Coturnix japonica: one gene and its partner. The protein of the gene in region 1 interacts with the protein of each later gene in a pairwise test. Links are inferred from orthologs where the notes say so. Each region holds a gene or a part of one and is shown on either strand. Other genes may lie near its edges.

Evidence for each region.
Region 2: the proteins of ANKRD13A (region 1) and QDPR interact in a two-hybrid assay, tested with the Homo sapiens proteins (2 studies listed by BioGRID). The two-hybrid records come from large-scale screens. The link is inferred for Coturnix japonica from reciprocal best matches to the Homo sapiens genes ANKRD13A and QDPR.

What each region holds. Positions count from the first base shown.
Region 1 is NC_029530.1:6,004,249-6,008,600, forward strand, and holds the start of ANKRD13A (ankyrin repeat domain-containing protein 13A), read left to right. Parts: upstream 1-1,550; 5' UTR 1,551-1,565; coding exon 1,566-1,717; intron 1,718-2,346; exon of another isoform or gene 2,347-2,355; coding exon of another isoform or gene 2,356-2,375; coding exon 2,376-2,454; intron 2,455-4,352. Other genes in the region: ARF GTPase-activating protein GIT2, read right to left, coding at 1,100-1,151. UniProt on the Homo sapiens protein: Ubiquitin-binding protein that specifically recognizes and binds 'Lys-63'-linked ubiquitin. Does not bind 'Lys-48'-linked ubiquitin.
Region 2 is NC_029519.1:68,886,211-68,888,935, reverse strand, and holds part of QDPR (dihydropteridine reductase), read right to left. Parts: intron 1,072-2,725; coding exon 963-1,071; intron 1-962. UniProt on the Homo sapiens protein: Catalyzes the conversion of quinonoid dihydrobiopterin into tetrahydrobiopterin.

The DNA of each region.
Region 1 (4,352 bases):
AGAAGTGGAGTTTTAATTGAGGTACATGAAGATTTGTGGGCTCCCATTCAGTTCAGACGTGGCTCACTGCCAGTTACTTGCTCTCAAGTAACGGATGGGGACCGGAAAGGGAACAATATTGGTTATGACAGAGGGCTGTCAGGTTATAGGAAGACTTATTTCAGGTTTAAGTTAAATGTCTGCGTTGGAGTTTAGTCTGTTTCTAAAGGCAATACAGGTACAAACGCAACGCAAATACACTTACACTGATGGCGGAACACAAGAAATACTCAAAAGATCTCTCAAGTTTGCTTTCAGGAACATGGCAGAGCGCTTCAAAACAGGAAGCGTGCAAGGACAGGCGTGCTCTGCGGGTACGAGAAGTGAGCTCCTGCCCCAGCAGCATAGGAAGTGTAACAGAAAAGAGCATGTCAAACTCTCCTTGAGCACAGCACGACCACTTGTGGTCCTAAAGAAGCAAAGAGAAGTTGGGGGAAACCCCAGAAGACAACCTGGCTCAAATGAAGAAGATCCTACCAGCCCTACAAACTCTGCTTTCAATCAAAGAAGGGGTTTGTTCAGGTTTTTGGGTTGTTTTGTGAAGAAAGGACTAAGCTTTTGTTACACACATGGCTAAACCAGCAGGCTTCTCTATGAGCATCAGATCTGACGCTGTCATGCAGCACCCAACAACACACAGAGCTGTGACCCTGCTGTGTGCTGGCTGCCCTGTTGTACTGTGTCCAGGTGTAGAGCCCTCAGTACAAAAATGACATGGAGATTTTGTTAAGGGTCCAGAGGAGGGTCAGGAAGATGATCAGGGGGCTGGAGCACCTCCCCTATGAGGACAGGCTGAGGGAGTTGGGTTTGTTCACCCAAAACAAAAACCAGTCTCTAACACAGGAACACCAGCACTATAAATAAGCAGAAATAGGGACTTTAGACCCTCATTTTATACCTTTATTCCCCACACCCCCTGTCAGCACAGCGCCCATCCACACAGCGGCACCTGCCCTCCTCTCCTCAGTGCAGGGGGGTGGGGATGCGGACGGGCCCTGCCGCCCCCTCCTCTCGTCTTTCCCCTTTATCCCCCTTCTCCCCTCGGTTCCTCCGGCCTTACCCTGCGCACTGCAGTCCGCACACACCTCGCTGCTCCTCAGCCGCTTCGACATCGCTGTTCGGATCGGGACCGGCCGCTTCCTGCCGCGCTCAAGGGGCCGCCTCAGCCCCCGCCGGGCGGCCGAGCCGAGCGCGTAGTGCGCATGCGTACGTCAGCACCGCACGCTACGCCGCCGCTCGCTATTCACGAAGCATTTTACGCTAACGTGAGAAGCCAGGCGGAGCTGCGCTGCCGTAGCCGTCGTATCGCCCTAACTTAAAATGGCGAATAGAGACACTGCCCTCACTCGCAATGGCTGCGTGTCTTCCGTATTTCCGCGGTAGAGCATGCGGGCGAAACCAACGCTGCCCAGAGGCGGGGGGGGATGGTGAGAACAGGGCGGCTCGTCAGTGTTACGGCTCAGAGGTTCCCCCCCTTGAGAGGTAAAGCGATGGAGGAGCCGGCGGGCAGGACGCCCTGTATATAAATGGGGGGAGAGCGGGGAATTGAGACTTCCGCTTGTGTGAGGGTCTGTGGGCTGCAGCGGGGAGAGAACGGGGCCCTATTGAACGCAGCTGCCGTGCTGTGGGACGGCCCTACCGCTGCCCTGGAGGGAAAGGAAGGGGCCAAGGGACGGGGGTGAGGAGACGGCTTGGGTGGGAAAGGGGCTGGGGTGTGAGGTGGGGCCTAAGGATGGGGGGAGCAGGGCACTGGGAGCTGGAGACTGAGGGATAAGGGTGGGGAATAGGAGTGAGGGTCTTAGGGAGGGCACCAGGAATGGGGACAGAGGGGGGTGGGAGCAGAGCCCTAAGGCTGAGGGACCTGGGGGGGAAGGGGGAAGAAAGAGGGGGGGGAAGGCAGAAGCTGAGGTGTAAAAGGGACCCCAGATATAGGAGAATAAAGGGGACTCCAAAAACAAGGGCCTGAGGAAACGGGGGGGGGCAGGAGTGGGGGATTCAAGGAGAGCTATAGGTATGTGGGTCTGAGAGAGGGGATGGCCATAGGGATGAGGGGTGGGGGGCAGAAGCTGAAGCCTAAAGGGGATTAAAGGGGAGCAGAGACTTGAGGGAGGCCATAGGGATGGTGGTTTGGGGGGGGGGGGGGGGGGGGGGGGGGGGGGGGGGGGGGGGGGGGGGGGGGGGGGATAGAGGTCTGAGGGGGTCAGTAGGAGCAGCCCCCCCCCCCAGGGTGTGGGATTTTGCATGGGGTGCCCCTAAACAAAGCAGGGGGTGGTGAGGGCAGGCTGCCTGCTTCCCCTGCTCCTGCAGGTGCGTGGCATGATGAGTTCCCCCGGCAGGGCCAGCGCTGCGTACCCCCTGCATGTCCTGGTTTGGAATAATGATTACCAGCGGTTGGATGAAGAGCTGCAAGAACAGGTAACTGCTGCCTTCCTGGGCAGAGAGAGCCTTGGCTGTGCCCCGGGTCTGTGCCAGGCTGGTGGGACTGTTTTCCTTCTGCACCTGTCTGTTTGTGGGTTTGAGAGTGAGGTAAGAAGGTATAGGGATGTGATGGACTTTCACTGTTTATCTGAGCAAAAAGAAGCAGCAAACAGAGCTTGCTTTAATGGAAAATCAGAGTGCAGCGCTGCTGCTGCTAGAGATGAGGGCAGGATGCAGCTTGCTGCTGACCAGCAGTGCTTAGAGGCAGCAGTTTTATACTGGCTGGAGTATTCTCAGCATCTCTGTTTAAAAAAAAAATATTAAATAGACTCATTGTTTCATGCTGTAGAGTAGAAAAATACAAAGCTGTTCTCTCTTTGGGGTGGCAGAGAGAGAAATAGTAATGACGTAAGGGAAGAACAGTGTGAAATGCTGCAGCAGAGCTCAGGCTTTAAGCATCCTTTGTGCTGAGGCACCCTGTGAAGGCTCAGGTGCACACTGGGGTGAGGGGAGAATCGTTTGGAAGCAGAACACATCCATTGCATTCTGCCTGGCACCACAAGGACACTATCCCAAGTTGGGCTGTGTCACCCCCCTGACTGGTGATTGCCATCTGCAGTTCTAACAGTGCTCCACGACTTACTAATGCTTGCTGAGAGCATGCACCTCCCCTGGTTTTTGAAGGAGAATCTTTGGAATGCAGTTAGTTTTCATCTGATTTGCTTTATTTTAATCCTTAACGTTGCTGTCACGTTGTTTCAGTTTATTTCTATTGCAGTAACGTTTTGATGTGTGAACATTTGTAATCAAATAAGGATCCTTGTGCTGCTTGTCCTTGTGAGACTGAGGCTAAGTGAGCATCCACACCTGTGAGTGCTCCTCCCAGACTCAAGTACTCTTCAATGTGAGGCAATGAGCAGCGTGTTGAGATGGGACACTTCCATCTCATATTTCTCTGCCTTTCAATATTATTTTTCCCCTTTAAAGTATTCCAAAGATCTGTTTCCTCCTGCTTCCTCAGGATAAGCTTCTTGCTGGCAGAGGGGCACGTGAAGGAATCAATGCCAGCTGCACTGGGTATGGCAAGGAGGAGTGGAATAGGGGTTTACTGGTTAGCAGAGGTCCTTCCTACATTAGTGCAATTAGCATTGGAGTTTTAGGAAGTGGGGAAGCAAATGCATTGGTATTCCAGAACAGAAGTGTGTAAAGAATGCTTTAAAATGAAGCTTCCCCCATTGTGTGTGATCTTTCAAACTTGATGCTGTCAGATAACTGCGTTAACTTGCATAATAACTTACCTGTTCTGCTATTGACTTTCCCCTTTTCCTTTAGTTATAGATGCTCTTCTGTTTCAAATCTCTAAGCTAATAGTGAAAGATATGTAAGGTATGAGTATGTTGTGCTTGCATGTTTTGGATCTTTATGCTTGTGTGGTCTCTTATTTTTAGTGACTCGTACAAAATGCATTCGCTCTTCATTGTGCTGTGTGTCAGTAAAAATGAATGCCTTGTCACTTACCATTTGCTTCTATGCTCTCAAAAAGTGCTACACAAGATCGGTGTTGTATCGCCTGTTGGGTCGTTTTGTTTCTTTTCCCCTCTTTTTCCCCTTCCTGTTATGCTGTACATTAAATCCTCCTGGTGATCTCTCTCAAGCTGTTAACTGTGCGTGTTTCAGTGCACACAGAACTGTCTTTTCCTAAGAGGGACTGCTTCAAAAGGGGGAAATAATTACAGGAAGAGAAATGAGAAGCATCACTGAGAGCTCAGTTGTGTTTTACAGTGATGCCAGTTTGTAGGCACTGTCCTGCTTCTCTTTTTATTTCGGTGGGGAAGTGAGATCTCAGTGTACTGAGGGCAGAAGGGCAGCACAGCAGTGTTTGCAACCAGAGTGAG
Region 2 (2,725 bases), on another chromosome or scaffold:
TGCACTTATAGCTTGCTCAAGTGTGCAGGCCCAGTATGTTTGGACTTTGATAATATTAAAGGCTGAAGTTTTCAGAACTGTCTTACTGCTTTACTGTTGACAATACAGTATATAATTACTCTGAAGAACTCCTGAGACCTGCACAAATCCAGAATGGCCAAAAGTACAAAAGCATTCTTGGTGTCTGCCTGTCTGCAAAGCTCTGTAGGACACTGTGTTAGTGATCCAACACTCTCAGTGCTGTTTTCTGACCTGAAGGAGTGTGCATAACAGCATGTGTGTGAGGAAAACATGCAGTTAGATTTTGGGCAACATCCCAAATACCCATAGAGAACTGTTTAAAATTTTAAGTTTTGGCTCCAGGTATGGACCTGGTAAGATCAATAACTCTTGCAGCAATACCAATGGACTTTGATATAGCAAAGACCTACCAGTTTGCTCATTTTACACTAACTTTTCTCAAAGCATCAAAAAGATGGCTCTGACAGGCAAATACAAGCTAGATTTCGTTTTCCTACAGAACCTCAAGGTGACTAATTTTTACTGATCAACCCCAGCTGCTTCTGTGGATGAAGATATGAAGATTTTCTAAGCAAAGACTTGTCCAGTAATCCTTTCTTTGCTATAATCACACAACTAAGTCTAAAATTGTGCTGAAAAGTCCTTCTTACCTTCTGACCGTACTGAAAAGGTGACATTAGTAGTCGGCTACTGTCAGAACGTTTAAAGCTGAATCAACTTTTAACCCTAACACCCACTACTGTTTTGCACAGCAAGTGAAAAAAAACTTATCCACTGTTAGGACAACTTGCCCACTGCCACTTTCATATGTTCAAGACACTCCTTTTCACAATCTAAGTTACTTGAGAAGCGTGAACAGGACATCACAACCACACCAGTGCAATTCTAGGTTGCAGCAGTAACAAAACAGTGCAGGCAAAGGTAAGTATTCAAGCACTTACGGTAAAATAGCAACAGCAGCAGAGCCAGATGGCAACCCGCTATTGGCACCAGCCAAACTCCGACACAGCTGGTGCACTGCTCCTTTAGCCATGCCATAGCCAACCATCCCTAGCAACAAAAAACAGGCAAACTAAAGCACAGTTCTCAATATTGGTAATATGACACAAACACGTTACTTTAATTAATAATAAGTTTTGTATCACTTACCACAGCAAGCACAGAAACAGATTTAAAACATACAGAAATACTATTCAAGAAAAAAAATTAAATTTGAATTTACAAGGAAAAACAAACCCAAACAAAAGCCTTCTAATAGACAAACAGGAACAACGGAAAAGCTTTGAGCGTTACAGAACTGACAAACTTACTGCTTTCTACATGTTTATTTAACACTTCAGAACACACCCTGAAGGACCAAGGGAGTTAACCTCAATGGTTTTGTTTTTTTAAGTGTGAAGAGACTCAGTGACTTTAATCAAGTAATCACCTGTTAACTTTGAACATAAGTCTGAAGTATTCACAGGTTTGGACTTGAGCACCCACATTTCTCTCCAGTACAGTAACTCACTGCAGCAGCATCCTAATTCTGACAGGCCCTCTGGAGGAAGCTACAAAAAAAACTATCAAATAGAAAACCCAGCCCGGGCAGAAAGTGACTAAACAACCTGCATGTAAATCCAGCATCTTCGGGAGCACAGCTGCTTTTCAGACAGACAGTACTCAGCAGCGTAAGATGTATGGGAATGAGAGCATGCAACATACTGCTCAAGTACAAGAGCTGGACAATCAAGGTTGCTGACAGGTCTCAGCGCTGTCTCATGGTACACATCTGCCAAGCAGCACAGACAATGGTTAAGCACATAGGAAAAAAGATAAATGGCCTCAAGTTGTGCCAAGGTAAGTTTAGGTTGGATGTTAGGAAACAATTATTTACAGAAAGGGAAGTTAAACACTGGAATAGGCTCCCCAGGGATGGTGGCGGATCGCCGTCCCTGGAGTGTTTAAGAGCCATTTGTATGTGGTGCTCAGGGATATGATTTAGCAGAGGGTTGTTAGGGAGTTCGGGTACTATGGTTAGGCTTGCAGTTGGACTTTGGTTGATCTTCAAGGTCTTTTCCAACCTGGGTAATTCTATGATTCTAAATGTATTTTGTCTACTACAACTGGATGACTTTCTACCTCTCTGTACAACTCCTTTTCAAAGTACCCAAGGAAGTATTCTGCAGTGAAGGTATAAAGGTAATTTTGCATTACATAAATGTTTCTGTTACATTCAATTAGATAAACCGTATAATATCCACAGTTATTAGGAGGGATCACCGTCAGCATTAGCTACCTCCTTTTATTTTATGATAAAATATTCACACTTCTATCATATTCCCCTCTTCTGTAAACCAGATACTAAGCCTTCTTAAGCCTTTTCTATGTTTCTTAGCCATTGCTGTTGAACTACTTACTGTAGCTATTGTATTATTTTCAGTTTTCTTCAATTTGCATTGAATGAGTCAACATTTTCACATAGAGGAACAAAAATCACAGGAAGATCAAACAAGAAAAAGAGGATTCCTTCCTTAATGGCTGAAAATAACAAGCCAGCAAGTCATATTTGCAAAAGTTGAGTAACAATTCTTTCCCAACTCTTCCTGAAGTTAATAAGCTCAATGTGTTTGCCCAAAGCACTGCTGTGCTTTTAAAAAAGTCCAGACTCATTGCAAACTGCCAGCTGAAAACATGAAAGCAAATCACTGATTCTTCTGCTGTG